Linked DNA regions of Elephas maximus indicus. The protein of the gene in region 1 interacts with the protein of each later gene in a pairwise test. Links are inferred from orthologs where the notes say so. Each region holds a gene or a part of one and is shown on either strand. Other genes may lie near its edges. The genes, in order: NUP58 and MIS18A.

The links.
Region 2: the proteins of NUP58 (region 1) and MIS18A interact in binary tests that used the Homo sapiens proteins (3 or more experiments, as listed by UniProt). The link is inferred for Elephas maximus indicus from reciprocal best matches to the Homo sapiens genes NUP58 and MIS18A.

Annotation. Positions count from the first base shown.
Region 1 is NC_064841.1:56,584,698-56,593,280, reverse strand, and holds the start of NUP58 (nucleoporin p58/p45), read right to left. Parts: upstream 3,534-8,583; 5' UTR 3,347-3,533; coding exon 3,240-3,346; intron 1-3,239. UniProt on the Homo sapiens protein: Component of the nuclear pore complex, a complex required for the trafficking across the nuclear membrane.
Region 2 is NC_064836.1:29,347,287-29,355,897, reverse strand, and holds the start of MIS18A (protein Mis18-alpha), read right to left. Parts: upstream 3,983-8,611; 5' UTR 3,954-3,982; coding exon 3,626-3,953; intron 1,026-3,625; coding exon 959-1,025; intron 1-958. UniProt on the Homo sapiens protein: Required for recruitment of CENPA to centromeres and normal chromosome segregation during mitosis.

The DNA.
Region 1 (8,583 bases):
AACCATTCGGGTTTTGTATATATTGGGAGTTTGGGGGAGGGAAGCATTATGATACAAGTAGTACAAATTTATCTCTTCAACAAGCTTATAATCACTTTATGCAGATCACTGGCAAACATAAAACAGAAGTTTGAGGTGAAAAGCTACTCGCTGAGGGGAATGGAGAGGGAGCAGCTTATTAAGGAGGTAACACTTGAGATGGGTTATCAATACTGAGCAGAAAAAGGGAGTACAACTAAAGCATAGAACTTTATATATTTAATCAACTGAACAATTAAAATGGTATTTTAAGAAACATTTCAGCAAATTTCGAAATCAAATTAGAAAAACGGTTATTATGCTCCCTTTGCTCCCAAATGAATGACCCCATTTTTTAAAGCTGTGCCCTACTTGTATTCCATAAATATACCAAAAACATACAGTGAAAGGTATGTATTATTAAACAATGAATTAAAAAATTTTAAATTTCTTGACAACTTAAGATAACTGAAGGCACTGTAAGGTATTTCATAACAAAAGTTCAAAACATCCTCAAAAAATATATATATCAAAGAAAAAATCCTTCTTACTCTACCAGAGGAGCAAAAGAGAAATTTCTCTGTGGCAGTGAAATTTCTTTACTTCAAGGAAAACAAAAGCTACATTAAGCCCAACCAATTATTGCCTCGACCCAGTATTATCTGCCAGTGATTTCACTTTTTTTTTTACTGTGGAAAAGCAAAGTTGACTCCATCTAGTCAGAAATGATATTTTAACTTCTCCAGCCTGCCTTAAAGGAGTCCTAGTGGCACAGTGGTTAAAGTGCTTGGCTGCTAACCAAAAGGCTGGTGATTCAAACCCACCAGCTGCTCTGCAGGAGAAAGAGGTGATAGTCTGCTTGTATAACAAATACAGCCTCAGAAACCCCATGGGGCAGTTTTACTCATAGGGTCACTATGAGTCTGAATCAACTCAACGGCAGTAGGTTTGGGTTTTCAGTTTAGAGTACATTAACTGTGGACTTAGAAGTAAAAGCAGTAGCTAACATTTACTGAACACTTACCAAGATGCAGAGCCCTGGTGGCATAGTGGTTAAGTTTCGCTGCTAACCAAAAGGTGGACAGTTCGAATCCACCAGCCACTCCTTGAAAACCCTATGGCGCAGTTCTACTCTGTCCTATAGGGTCACTATGAGTTGGTACCGACTCCACTGCAACGGGTCTGGTTTTCTTGGTTTACCAAGATGCACGTACATGATGCTAGATACTTTACATGCTTTATCTCATTCAAAAACCCTCTGAGGTTAAGTATGTTATTATACACCTTTTCCAGGTGTGGGAACTGAGGCCAGGAGAGTAAGTCACCCAAAATGACTTACCGAAAGAGACAAAATCACCAAGCGGCACCAGGAGCTGTCAGGTCTCCAATCTAGCACTCTAACGGGCAGAGGTCTTCTGTCATTAATTTATTCAAATCCTTTTAAAGCCTGTGTAGATTTTTCTAGTTTATTACCAAATAATTCATTTATTTAGGCATTTGACAAGTATTTATTAAACCTCTTTTCATATGTTAGACACCATCATGAGAACTGAGGATGGAGTGGTAAATAAGATTAGACCCTGCCCTCAGGAAGTTTCCAGTTAGTAAAAAATAGATATTAATCATTCTTTTACTCAATAAAGAGGTTTTGGACATCAAGCACTTTCTCAGTATATACCAGCAGGGTGGTAATGTAAATGTTATTTTTTTACAGTGGTCCTGGATCAATGAATGGGAGCAAACTAAAATGAGAAGATGGGTTCAAGATGAGTAAAGGGATTCCAGATTATTCAGGCCTCGTAGACTATGGTAAAAAAAAAAAAAGAAAAAGAAAATTTAATTTCATTTTAAGGGTAATGGAAAATCACAGAAAGGTAGCAAAGCGCATTTAAAATGAAAATCTCTGGCTACATGTGGCAAAAAGGCTGATGCAGGAGATACAGGTGCAGTTTTCATCTAGCAAAAAAAAAGGTTGCTGGTTGGAAAGCTGGCAGGAATCTTAAGTAGAGCAAGAATCTTATTCATCTCACCACCTAAAACAAAGCCTGGCTCATAGAAATTTGTTCAGTAAGTATTTGTTCTATGAATGCAACACCGTGGAGCAGGACGGTGGCATTGGCAATGCACAAAAAACGGAAATCACAGAAGTAAAATCACCAGGACTTGCTGGTTAAGTGCATAGAGTGCCAGAAAAAGAGGAAAACCCCCAGATTTCTAATCTTGGCTGTGTAGTCTGGGGTGCACTCCCCCCTCCTTAAATACACGTAACCCAAAATATTTTTGCCTTTTTAACCTACAACCACATCCTTCAAGCTCCAGGAGTTATCTTGTAGCTCATGCTATGCATACTTCATTTTATGCACTCCTCTGCCTCTACCTTCAAAAGATTGAGGCCTACGGGCTAAATCTCTCATCATAAAATCATCTTTCACCGTTTTAATTGTATCTTTGCGAACCTCTGCTAGTTGTCTTTTTGTCACACCTGTCCTCGCAGGTTGCAAGAAAACGCTGAATATGTCACCTACGCTTTGCAATTTAAGTGAAAGGCAATGTGGGAAATTACAATACGTTGGTGATCGAGAGAAAATTGTTCTCAATGATGAAACGTGACAGGCCGTGATACTGTTAGTCAAATATTCCAATTTCCCCACATACCGTACAAAATTATCACCAATAAATACTGCAAAAAGCCTTAAAAAAAAAAAAAACTTAAAAAGCTCGCTAAAAATAACCACGAAATCATTAAAGCACCGTAACATCCAAAACCGTAACACTGCAGTGGAATCTGAATTATCGGAAAGACGCTTTTAATTGTTCTCCTTACCAATTTCCATTCGTTAAAGATCTTCATGTCAAACCCTACAATAAACCGTAATTTCATTCATTCATTCAACCTTCATCCCATGCCTGAAGACTGACGCCTCGTTAAGGCTCTGGGCTGTGAACCCCAGGCCCTGTCAACCAGCCAGGCCCCGCTCGGTCGGAACAAAGCCTGAACCACCCGCGATCCTGGAGACCTCACAGACCGTCCGCCCTCCTCCCTGCCAGGCCGGGGCACGGCTCGGGCTGGACCGCGAGCGGGCGGCCTACCGAGCGGGTGGCCCGGCAAGCGCATATCTGTAAGCCCACAGGGAAGGAAGCCACCGGGAAGAGAGGGTCGGGACCAACAGGGAAACCCGCCGGCGAAGACCCGGGCCCGAAAAACGAGTACACGCGGTTACCTAGCCGCCCCTGTCCCGAAGGAGAAGCCGCCCGCCGTGCCGGTCCCGCCGGCGGCCACGGTGGTGGAGCCCAGGGTCCCGGTTCCGAAGGAAAAGCCGCCGGACATGGCTGCACCCTGGGCCCGGGGCCGTTGGCAACCCGGAAGAGTCGGGACCGCTCCTCACGCCTCACCGCCGCGGCGGAGCGGAGGACATCTCTCACGCCAGCTCCAACCTGGCGGGAACCTCACCCCAACGGCGGCCAAGACAAGGCCGAAGGGGTGGAGCAACGCACGCACCAGCCCGTTGCGTCGCTCGCCGCTCGCACGCACTGCCGGGAGCGAGCCCGCGTCGCAAGGGACGCTGGGACAGCGCGCGACCGACTTCCTTAAAGGGGCAGGCGCCCACAGTAAAAACTAAAAGCCAATAATCATTTCTATTTTTTATTTAGTTCTTCTATTTTGGTATCTGTGCTGACTCAGTCTGTACTTTGTAGTTTGGCGTCTCAATTATTGCTTATGTCCTCCCTACTGGATGTGCAGAATTCCGGAGTTGGGAAGGGCGCTAAAGAGCATCTCCAAGTCCCTCCTTTTACAGAGACAAAGGCCGCGAACTGGCTGACCGCTGTCAGCGATTTCGGAAATCATAATTCACCCATCCCTTCAACGCACTGAGCTTCAACTCTGCTCAATAGCTTGCGCGGACCGTTTCGTATAGTCGGACACGGCAGTCACCAACAGGGCTTAGGACCGGCCCGATGGAGGTGTGGGCGCTGGCTCTGTTCGTGGTGCTGAGGAAACGGACTGTCCAAGGCCCTGTAGCTCATGGTTTAGCCAAGTCAACCAGTAGTGTCAGCATAGTAGGAGCTAGAGCCAACCGGGACGCCGCTTCGATATCCTCTGTGCTACCTACTAAAGGGCCTATACAGCTGCAAAGGAGAAAAACACTATACAGACAAGTATGACGTAAGGTAAAATTTAAGAGTTACGTGACCAACGTCAGAAAACTGTGGGTTCCAAGAAGATATCTCCTCTGTGGGAAAGATCAGGGAAGTCTTCAGCAATAGTACAATAGAGGTTCCGCCGTCATAATGTGGGTCTCTTTTTCCATCGCGAATTGTTACCTTCGCCTCCTCAAATGGTTTTCCTACCTAAATTCTCTTTCCATAAAATCCGTCCCATTAGCAACCACCATATTTGTTCTTCTAAAATATAATTGCCACCATGGCAGTCGCTTGATCAGAAACTCCCAGTGGCTCCTTAGTCTAATACGCAAAGTTCTCAACACGACCCAGCTGTACAACCTCCTCTCTCACAATTGCCGTGAATGCAACACTTTCTCCGGTTGAGACTGGGCACTCCCACTTCTGTTTGTAGAATTAAAAATAGATAAACACCATTTTAAACATTATGAAGGTCACATGATAAAACAGAAATGAAAGGGAAATATATTTAAACTATAGTATAAAAAAATTCACAGTGATTGAGCAATAGTAAAAATTATTATGAATTTTAGAGCTTCAGTAATCTAGATAGCGTTTTCAATGACAGATATAGGACGGCCAGTAAGAAGCCTGTAGATATAAAATTTAAATGTACTTCCTTTTGACTAAAAAAAAAAATGCAACCAGATGACATTTGAAAGAAAGCTGTTCCTTATGTCATTTCATTCCCTGGTATTTCCACAATTTTTGAAGAATATCAAAATAAAATTAGGACAAATAAAATCCCCAGCACTTAAAAAGCACTTGTTGATTAATAAGACATGTAAGATTACCTGGACGGAAACAGCATGTAAAAATATTAGAGGAGCTGTCGGAAGATATTATGGAACCCTAGCAGCACAGTGGTTAAGAGCTCAGCTACTAATCCAACACAGGCAGTTTGAACCCACCAGCCACTCTGCAGGAGAAAGATATGGTAGCCTGCTTCCATGAAGATTATAGCCTTGGAAACTCTATTGGACAGTTCTACTCTGTCTTATGGTGTCACTATGAGTCAGAACCAACTTGATGGCAATGGGTTTTTAGCTTTATTGTAACATATTAATAATTGGGCGTACAGTACAAAGGAACTGTCTGTACTATCAGTGCAAAAATTCTATAAATTAAAACTTTTGAAATACAAAGCTTATTGTAGAATTAAAATAGGGGAACCTGACTCAGACAAAGGGTGTTTATGTTTCTTTGAGCCATTCAAATTGATGCGCAAGCTATTCTTACAATTTTATTTTATAAAAATTTTAGTATGGCATTTCTGCCTTGTATCTGGCAGAGCAGTTTAAGTTCTGTTTCAGTAACAAATGATCCCAAATCCCACAGGAAGAAGTACTGCATGGTGGAAAATTGGAATATTTGACGCACAGTGTTATAATCTGTCACAGTTTACAGATGCACCAAGCATAAGACTGGACCTGAAAGACCTTTTCTCATCTTATATACCTGTGGCTGTCTGTCCTATTAGCAAAGAGAGAGGGAGAAGAAAAAAAGAAAACACTTTACATCCTCTCCAAAGAAAACAGTTTTAATAGGCCCAATTTTTTGTTACGAAACTGAAAACTTGCCAGTAAAATAGCAATAACCTCAACTTCGTGCCTATTAAACCCTATCCCCCAACCAGGGAAAAATGTGGAGCACTGTAATTTGGCTTAACATTCCTCATCTAGTGTGAGTGACAAATTTTTATTACAAACGAAGTTCCAAATATTACTCTTGGACATTATGGGACCTGACCCATGTGTCAGTTCTGTGTGAATTACTGCTTTCCAAGGAGGAAGCAAGTGATTCAGATTCTGAATTCTATAGCAAGCTACTTTATTTCCCCTCCTCTTTTATTGTGAGCATTCTGTTAAGAAACTCCATATTTTGCTGATTTGCTTGCTGGATGATAACATTGTTAATGTCATAATCAGACAATTAGCTGAAAGGCAATAGCACTGTAAAAAAAAATTCCAGTTTGTATTTGCATTAAAGAGCTAAATAGCCTTGCAGTAGTAGTGTGTTCAGATCAGGAGAGCCCTTTGAGAAGCATTATTTGAGAGGTTTTAACACAGAAAGTGTCTGGGAATCTGAAGTCTATTTAAAGTGATCTGTAATGTTTATGGTTCTGATCCTCTGAAATATTCAAGAGAGAGGTTATCTTTCAGAAACTACATGCAGCATTTGCCTCCAGACTCTGTCTTGTAAATTTTTCCAGAAGAGGTGTATTTATTTGGCTTGAAAGATTTAGATAGTATCATTCTTCTTTAAAAATCCTATTAAAGTCTCAAAAGAGTCAACGACAACCACAAAATGAATATAGAGAGATAGAGCAATAATAAAAATGTGACTAAATGTTGACAGTTGGTACCTCCACAAGCAAGGTAGATGGGTGTCCATTATACTACTCTCAACTTTTCTGTAGGTTTGGACATTTTCAAAATAAAATGTTAGAAAGGAAGAGCCTAAAGCTAGAGGAAAAGTTCACTATCACAGGTCAGAATACTAATTATCTGTTTACTAATGAAATTTTCATTCATGACTCAAGAAATGAGAAAAATAAAAGCAATAGAAGGCATTTTCCATGAAGCTAAATTAGTTCCATTCTCAGTGTAGTCATTTATTTTGAAATTATGTTTTTGCTATTGGTGGGGGCAGTGAATGGGACATGAAAAAGTTGCCTTGGCGGCCTCATGATGATAGTGGATGGTAATAATTTCTTTTCTTTTTAGAAATCTTGCTAGACAAAATAAAATGCTAGCAACCCTTATAGAATTCTATTGATAAGGTCTTGAAGGTGTGTCTCAATCTCTGTACCTATTAGGAATGCAGTGTAATAGTGGGCAGAAACATTGATAGGAAACAAAGGAATGTAGCTATAAGAAATGAAACCTGATTGTCTTAGGCTCGGTTCTCTAGAGAAGTAAAACCAGTAACCTCTATAAACATATATATAGAGAGAGAGAGATTTATATCAAGGAAATGGCTCACACGGTTGTAGATGCTGGACCATTCCAAGTCTGCAGGTCAAGATAGAGGTTTCCCCTGATTCACGTAGCCACAGGAGTTGGCAAACCTAAGATCAGCAGGTCACAGATCAGGGCTCTTTCTCACAAGCTATGGAGATCGATGAATCCCAAGATCAGCAGGTAAGACTGCAGGTAAGCTGCCAGCTCAAATCCCAGGAACCAGAGGCTAGAAGACAGAAGCCAGCTGCAGGATCCAGCATGAGCAATAAGCACCCAAGCCTTTCCAGACTATCCATTCATATTCAATGCAGGTCACATGCCTAAGGAAACTCCCCCAAATTAACAGGCTACTCACAGCAGACACCATCATGGAGGTGATCACACAATATCAAATCTTATCATGGAAGTCATCACACCATACGGCTGACAAACCACTGAGACTCACGGCCCAGCCAAGTTGACACACAATCCCAAAGGCTAGGAAGTAGGAAATACTGGGGGTTATATTTGTGTCAAGGCCCCTGGGTACTTGTGATTGACTTCTAACCTAAAGGGTGGCAGTTTGAGCCCAGCCAATGATACCACAGAAGAAAGGTCTGGTGATCGGCTTCCATTAAGATTACAGTCAAGAAAACCCTGAAGAGGCAGGGCCAAGATGGCAGAGTAGTCAGATGCTTCTGGTGGTCCCACTTACAACAAAGACTCAAAAAAACAAGTGAATCAATTATATATATGGCAAGCTAGGAGCCTGAAAATCAAAGACAAAGTTAAGAAATCGGACTAAGTGGCAGGGGGAGGGAGAGATGGATCAGAAGCAGTGAGAATTTGGTGGATCTGGCTCAGCAGGAACCAGTGCCCCTCAGCCCTGATCTGCTGGCAAGACTGTGGCAAGGCTGGTAGTAGTATTCAGGACGTGGTTTCCTTAGCCACAGGGAGCCAACGGCACAGAGTCTACTCATGCCTCTGGAATCAGCAAAGAACAGTGCTCTCAGCATAAGATAAGTGCTTGTGTCTAATTTACTGTACAGATCAAATAGCTCCCCTTTCGAAAGAACTCTCTCCCATTTATCTGATCCCTCCTCCCTCTGCCACAGGCCCTGAGGTGGCTTCAGTGATGGTCCATTTCCCTGGGCCTGAGATAGGTCCTGCTGCACACTTTGAGCCATTCTTCCAACCTTGGAGAAGGAACAAATTAACAAATGGGGAAAAAAATAATCTGCTGACTCCCCCAAGCTGGGCACTTAGGGCAGAAGTGGCTACTGTCCAGGCACAAGTGGCCCACAGACTATGAATGCCATTCACCCCTGCATGGACTTGTGTGGCCCCATTTCAGCAGCTATACCATTGTCACAGTGCAAGGGTATATGTCCCTGAGGTCTGACTTCAACAGTTCCAGCTGTGCAGTGGAGAGGCAGGTTTT
Region 2 (8,611 bases), on another chromosome or scaffold:
CAGCCTGGGTTGTTGATCTTGATTCTCCTTCCCCCTCATGAAGTTAGAGGTCAGATGCCCCCGCCATGCCATTTTTGCACAAGATACTGAGATACTGATCTTCTCACCCCTGGTATGGCTACCCAGAGCCTGGGATGGTCAGAGCTCCATTTTGGTTGCTTCTGGCCACAAGCTGTTCATCCTTATCTGTAAGTGTAATTTATGTGTATATATATATATATATATATATCCACCACAGTTTCTTGTACTGTAGTGGCTTGTGTATGGCTATGATGCTGGAAGCTATGCCACTGTATTTCAAATACCAGCAGGATCACCCATGGTGGACAGGCTTCAGTGAAGCTTTCAGGCTAAGATAGACCAGGAAGAAAGGCCTGGAGATTTACTTTAAAAAAAATTAGTCAATGAAAGCCCCCCAGACTGCAACAGAATATTGTCTGATATAGTGCTGGAAGATGAGCCCTCTAGGCTGGAAGGCTCTACCCAAGAGCTACAACAATGGACTCAAACATACCAACAATCACTAAGATGGTACAGGACCTGGCAACGTTTCATCATGTTGTCCACAGGGCCATCGTGAGTCAGGCCGTCATATGTCTATGCATTTTCTGTGAGTGTCATGGCATGAACAAGGTAGACAGCATTGGTCTAAGGCACCTTTGCCTACGAGGTTTCACGATACAGATATTTTCTTTTTCTATTTTCTTCAAAACCAAGCCCAAAGAGCCAAAAAGGGAATATCAGGATATGTCTTTAGAAAACTAGAAACCCTCCCATCTCAATATTTAGGGGGCACCATCACTCAAGAATTGACAGGTTTGAAAGACTGATCCTGTATCGATTACTAGGAAACAGTTTTATCCCAAGCAATTACTAGTAAAGATCTTTTAAAAGATTTTTACCTGAAAAATAAGCATTTCTCTAACATATATATTCACATAGATACAGCTTTACTCACCAGCCATTTTCATTTTTACGTTTGGATAGCTTCTGTTCCTTGTCCACAGAAACATTACAGGAGACACCTGGAAAGAAGAAAAGTAACTATAATTTGTTAATGGGGTTTGTTATAATACACATGCAGATATTTAGAGAACCTCTAATCTGAGTTTTATATGAAAACTCAGAGGGCCAGAAAAAATAAGAGGCCAAAGTATCTCCCTCTCACCCTTTCTGTCTCTCTCTCTCACACTCACACACACAAAACACATGGGTTTAAAACTAAATGTACAGGAGTCTTCTGGAAAAAGACAGCAGAATAAGAGTTACTTCCTTCCCTGAAAACCAGTGATATGAACAAAATGAATAAGCTTAAGAAGAAAAATTCAGGAAATAGTAAAACCTGGAAAAATGAGAACCTCCAATCATAAATTACAAAGAATAACTGCCAGGTTTGGTGAAATTGGGATTAAAACCAAGGAAGATGCTAAAATCCAACGCGTACATATCTAGATCTCCAAAAGAAAGCTCATTTCTCCAACAGTAATTTAGATGGTCCCCAGCAACCCAGCCAAAAATCTTTTACTTGGACCATGACTTGGGCAAGGGCCGCAGCAGAACCCGAGCAGGAAACGTTACCGGAGGATTCAGTTTCAGGATGCACTAACAGAGGGTCCAGGTGGAGGGAAATGAAGAAAAGACCATGTCATATCGGACCTAACAAAACAGCCCCTTGATTTCACCTCCTCCTACAGTCCACTTTAGCCTGGTGAATGCCACCACCAGACACCCTAATGCCATCCTTGATTCTTCTGTCTCATCCTGCTCCCCACACCCACTCCACTGACAAGTGCTGTGAATTCTACCTCACAAACGCCTTTCCAAAGTATCTGCTCTTCTCCATCCCCAACACAGCTGCCACCACCCCTTGCGTGGACTTCCACAACAGCTCCTGACTTGTCTCCCTACTTCCACGAGTGGGTCATATCACTCCCATCTCCTCAACCACTGGAATAGATTTTGTCTCCTCAGATAGCATACGAGGCTCTCCATTTTCTGGCCCCTTCCTTCTTCCCTGAATCTTATCTGTATTCTACTCACAAGCCCCAGGGCCTTTGCACCACCTGCTCCCCTCATGCCTGGAGGAAGCACAAAGCATGACCGAAGAAGTGTACGTGTGGCCAAAGAGACATTCATGTATAAAGACAACAGACATTTTCAAGCACTCAAACCTGGAGTTTTCTTGGGGATGGGAACTACTGAGGACGATTAATCAAAATAAAGAGGGACACGGTGGTTCAGTGGATAGAATTCTCGCCTTCCGTGAGGGAGACCCAGGTTCCATTCCCGACCAGTACTCCTCAAGCACAGCCACCACCTATATGAGTAGAGGCTTGTATGTTGCTATGCTACTAAACAGACTTCAGCAAAGCTTCCAGACTCTGACTAGGAAGAAAGTCTTGGCAATCTACTTCCAAAATCAGCCAGTGTAAACCCCACGGATCGCAACAGTCCGATCCCTTTGTGTGTGGGTTGCCATGAGTCGGGGTCAACTCCACAGCAGCTAACAAGAACAATCAAAATAAACCAGTCAGGAAGGGAAAGCTCTAAGGGTACTGTTGTTATGTGCCATTGAGTCAATTCTGAAAGGAGCCCAGGTGGCACAGTGGTTAAGTGCTCAGCTACTAACCAAAAGGTTGGCAGTCTGAACCCATCAGCCAGGTGGGAGAAAGATGCGGCAGTCTGCTTCCATAAAGATTACAGCCTTAGAAACCCTATGGGGCAGTTCTATTCTGTCCTATAGGGTCACTATGAATCAGAATCGACTTCACAGTAATGGGTTTGGTTGTTTGTTTTTTTTTTTTAATCTTTTCAGGAGCAGATTGCCAGATCTTTCTCACTCGGAGTCACTGGGCAGGCTCAAATCACCAACCTTTCAATGAGCAGCTGAGTGCTTAACCGTTGTGCCACCAGGACTCCTGATAAGAGTACTAGAGTTGAGAAATAAATCCACTTAAATGTTACCTTAAGGCTAAATGACCATGGGAATTATGGCTACAGAGCAGAACGTAAATACTAGAACAATGACAAAGTGAGAATAATTGAAGTCCAAGTGGAGGAGAAAGTTTTAATCAAATTGTCTAAAGCGGATAAATCAAGATATTTATATACAGTTCTAGAAAAGTTAAAAACAACTTGACTCCACAACACCTAACAACAACAAACACGTCCTGGCTTACAATCGAGTTGTAATGTTTTGAGTAATGCTCACAATGCTGCTGATTCAACCACTGCTCTTCTCGAATGGGGGGCGGGGCGGTGGCTTCAAGATAAAGGACCCGCCCCTCACTCTTGAGCCAAAGGTGCAGGTGACCTTCTTCCTCCCCTTTTCGTAGCACAGCTCCCCCTCTCAACTTTCTCTGCATTTTAAGTCCCTGGTGGTGCAGTGGAACCCTGGTGGTGGAGTGGTTAAGAGCTCGGCTTCTAACCAAAAGGTCTGCACTTCGAATCCACCAGCCGCTCCTTGGAAACCCCATAAGACAGCTCTATTCTGTCTATAGGGTCGCTATGAGTCGGAATGGACTGACGGCAGTGGGTCCCAAGGCAACCCCCTCCCTCCGAGCCGCCCAGATACTGCACACCTGGGAAGTCGGCGGCCCCAAGCCCCCCGCCCGCCCGGACTGACAGCGGAGCAGGATGCAGTCGGGGTCCTCCTGGCTCGTCACCCAGCTCAGCGAGTCGCCCAGCGGCCGGCGGCAGCCCGAGCACAGGAACACCAGCGGCCGCTCCTCCTCCGCGGCCTCCCCACGCCACGTCTCCTCGGCGCCGGCCGCCGGCGCGCTCCAGCTCCCGGAGCTGCACATGCTCGCCCACTGCTGCAGCAGCTGTTGGCGGCTCGAGTCTTCGGAGAGCCTCCTGCCCAGCAGAGAGGAGTCGCTCCACTTGCCCTGGTCACACGCACAGCTAACAGAGGAGCATCTTTTGCAAGAACGCAGCGACGGAGCGCCCGCCATAACTACAAATTACCCGCGCCCTAGAGCACCACGGGAAAAAACGGCCCTGCGCATGCGCGGGGCGGGGCGCAGCGGCCCAGGTCGAGCCTTGAGGGGCGGGGTCTGAGGGAGGAGGGACAGCGGGCAATGGGCTCGTGCGCGTGCTCACTGTCGGCTTGACGCGGCTGTCGATCACTGCGCCTGCGTCAGGTTTTCCACCCCTTTTAAGAAGTCAGGAGCCCTGGTGGTGCAGTAGGTGAAGCGCTCGGCAGCGAACCGGAAGTTTGGTGGTGGAACACACCAGTTGCTACAGGGGCGGAGAGATGCGGCAGTCTGCTTCCTGAAGATTACAGCCTCGGAGACCTTATGAGGAAGTTTTGTTCTCTATGGGTTGGAATCCACTTGGCAGTGGGTTAGGCTTGGTTTGGGTTAAAAAACAAATTACGGGGTCTGACAGAGCCTGGAGAAACCCCCGAGACTGTGGCCCTAAGACACCCTTCTGAAGTGGAACTGCAGCCACATTTCCAGAGGCCACCTTTCAGCCAAACCATAGACAGGGCCGTGAAATAAACAGTAACTCCCGAGAGAAGGTGGTCCTTAGAACAATTAAAAAAAAAAATTTTTTTTTTTTTTTTACACGAGATAAATCAGGACGAAAGGAAAGGGGGAACTCGGAATGGAAACGGGGGTAGTGCTGACTCACTGTGGGGAATACCACCAAAGTCATGTAACACTTTATGTACAAACTAGTGAACGGGGGAACTAATTTGCTTTGTAAATTTGACCTTAAGCACAATTAAAAAAAAAAAAGGAGGAGAGTTGCTGGAATGCTGGTGTGCACTGAGAAGGGTGTTCAGCTTCTTGGGGGAGTGTTAGGGGATGTCATCCTTGAAAAGGGGCACAGACCTCAGAGTAAATTACCATTCGCTCACCCAGACCTTCACAATCCTTGGTCTTCTTGGGGGAGTGTTAGGGGATGTCATCCTTGAAAAAGGGCACAGACCTCAGAGTAAATTACCATTCCCTCACCCAGACCTTCACAATCCTTGGTCTTCTTGGGGAAGTGTTAGGGGATGTCATCCTTGAAAAAGGGCACAGACCTCAGAGTAAATTACCATTCGCTCACCCAGACCTTCACAATCCTTGGTCTTCTTGGGGGAGTGTTAGGGGATGTCATCCTTGAAAAAGGGCACAGACCTCAGAGTAAATTACCATTCGCTCACCCAGACCTTCACAATCCTTGGTCTTCTTGGGGGAGTGTTAGGGGATGTCATCCTTGAAAAAGGGCACAGACCTCAGAGTAAATTACCATTCGCTCACCCAGACCTTCACAATCCTTGGTCTTCTTGGGGGAGTGTTAGAGGATGTCATCCTTGAAAAAGGGCACAGACCTCAGAGTAAATTACCATTCCCTCACCCAGACCTTCACAATCCTTGGTCTTCTTGGGGAAGTGTTAGGGGATGTCATCCTTGAAAAAGGGCACAGACCTCAGAGTAAATTACCATTCGCTCACCCAGACCTTCACAATCCTTGGTCTTCTTGGGGGAGTGTTAGGGGATGTCATCCTTGAAAAAGGGCACAGACCTCAGAGTAAATTACCATTCGCTCACCCAGACCTTCACAATCCTTGGTCTTCTTGGGGGAGTGTTAGGGGATGTCATCCTTGAAAAAGTGCACAGACCTCAGAGTAAATTACCATTCACTCACCCAGACCTTCACAATCCTTGGTCTTCTTGTTAGCTGCCTTGGAGTCACCCCCAACCCATGGCAATCTCGACCGAGAAGAATGCTGCCCAGTCCGGCTCCATCCCCACCGACTGCTGTGATCCATAGGGTTTTCACTGGCTGATTCTCAGAAGTACATGGCCAGTCCTTTCTTCCTAGTCCATCGTGGTCTGGAAGCTCCACTGAAACCTGTTCAGCATCATAGCAACATGCAAGCCCGCACTGACAGATGGGTGGTGCTGCACATGGGGTACACTGCCTGGGCATCCTGCACCAGGTCTCCTTCACGGAAGGTGAGATTGGCAGCTATCAGTAGTGGCAAGACATGATGAACGCAATCAGTGTCACTGAATTTTACATGTAAAAATTGTTGAATTGGAAAAACATATATATGTATGTTTACCACAATAAAAAAAATTAAGAAGTTGCAGACACTGGTGCGGGCAGTAGCAGTGTTACTGGAAAGTTTGGCAGTGCCTCTGCTGTCTACATCAGGTAGCCCTCAGCCCCTCGCAAGAGGCGAGCATTCACTCAGGATCGTCAGCACAGACTTCCTTCAACCAGCCTCTGATTTAAAGCACCACTGGTGTGGTGGGAAGACTGAGGGGAAGGGGTCTGGCTGCATCGCAGACCACCTGGCAGCATAACTGGGAAGAAAGCACTGCTACGGATCTACCCACCACCCGTCTGTCAGTTGGTCATACTGTGATGGCTTGCATGTTGCCATGATGCTGGACGCTATGGCACTGGTATTTCAGATACCAGCAGGGTCACCCATGGTGCACAGGTTTCAGTGGAGCTTCCAGACTAAGACAAAAAAGAAAAGCCTAGTAATCTATTTCCAAAATATCAGCAGTTCAGCTCTGACACACATGGGGTCATCATAAATCAGAGCCAATTTGACAGCCGCGAACAACCACAAGGATCTACATCGGCTCAGACTTTGGACAGCAAGCAGGAATCCTCAGTGGGTTTTTTTGTTTTTTTGTGTTTTTTTTTTTTACAATTTTTATTGTGCTTTCAGTAAGTGAAAGTTTTCAAATCAAATCGGTCTCTCACATAAAAACTTATATACACCTTGCTACATACTCCCAATTACTCTCCCCCTAATGAGACAGCCCGCTCTCCCTGCACTCTCTCTTTTCGTGTCCATTTCGCCATCTTCTAACCCCCTCTACCCTCTCATCTCCCCTCCAGGCAGGAGATGCGGACATAGCCTCAAGTGTCCACCTGATCCAAGAAGCTAACTCCTCACCAGCATCCCTCTCCAACCCGTTGTCCAGTCCAATCCATGTCTGAAGAGTTGGCTTCAGGAATGGTTCCTGTCCTGGGCCAGCAGAAGGTCTGGGGGCCATGACCACCGGGGTCCTTCCAGTCTCAGTCAGACCATTAAGTCTGGTCTTATGAGAATTTGGGGACTGCATCCCACTGCTCTCCTGCTGCCTCAGGGGTTCTCTGTTGTGTTCCCTGTCAGGGCAGTCATCAGTTGTAGCTGGACACCATCTAGTTCTTCTGGTCTCAGGCTGATGTAGTCTCTGGTTCATGGGGCCCTTTCTGTTTCTTAGGCTCATAATTACCTTGTGTCCTTAGTGTTCTTCATTCTTCTTTGATCCAGGTGGGTTGAGACCAATTGATGCATCTTAGATGGCTGCTTGCTAGCGTTTAAGACTCCAGATGCCACTCTTCAAAGGGGGACGCAGAATGTTTCCTTAATAGATTTTATTGTGCCAATTGACTTAGATGTCCCCTGAAATCATGGTCCCCAGACCCCTGCCCCTGCTACACTGGCCTTCGAAGCATTCAGTTTATTCAGGAAACTTCTTTGCTTTTGGTTTAGTCCAGTTGTGCTGCCCTCCCCTGTATTGTGTGCTGTCTTTCCCTTCACCTAAAGTAGTTCTTATCTACCATCTAATTAGTGAATACCCCTGTCCCACCCTCCCTCCCTCCCTCCTCTCTTAACCACAAAAGAATGTTTTCTTCTCAGTTTAAACTGTTTCTCAAGTTCTTATAATAATGGTCTTATACAATATTTGTCCTTTTGCAACTGACTAATTTGACTCAGCATAATGCCTTCCAGGTTCCTCCATGTTATGAAATGTTTCACAGATTCCTCACTGTTCTTTATTGATGCGCAGAATTCCATTGTGTGAATATACCGTAATTTATCCATTCATCCGTTGATGGGCACCTTGGTTGCTTCCATTTTTTTGCTTTTGTAAACAGTGCTGCAGTAAACATGGGTGTGTGTATATCTGTTCATGTAAAGGCTCTTATTTCTCTAGGAGTGGGATTGCTGGATCTTATGGTATTTCTATTTCTAGCTTTTTAAGGAAGCGCCAAATCGATTTCCAAAGTGGTTGTACCATTTTACATTCCCACCAGCAGTGTATAAGTGTTCCAATCTCTCCACAGCCTCTCCAACATTTATTATTTTGTGTTTTTTGGATTATTGCCAGCCCTGTTGGAGTGAGGTGAAATCTCATTTTAGTTTTGATCTGCATTTCTCTAATGGCTAATGATCGTGAACATTTCCTTATGTATCTGTTAGCTACCTGAATGTCTTCTTTAGTGAAGTATCAATTTGTATCTTTTGCCCATTTTTTAATTGGGTTATTTGTCTTTTTGTAGTTGCGTTTTTGCAGTATCATGTAGATTTTAGAGATCAGGCGCTGATCAGATGTGTCATAGCTAAAAACTTTTTCCCAGTCTGTAGGTAGTCCTTTTCTCTTTTGGTGAAGTCTTTGGATGAGCATAGGTGTTTGATTTTTAGGAGCTCCCAGTTATCTAGTTTTTCTTCTGCATTCTTAATAATGTTTTGTATACTGTTTTTACCATGTATTAGGGCTAGCGTTGTCCCTATTTTTTCTTCCATGATCTTTATCGTTTTAGATTTTATATTTAGGTCTTTGATCCATTTTGAGTTAGTTTTTCTGCATGGAGTGAGGTGTGGGTC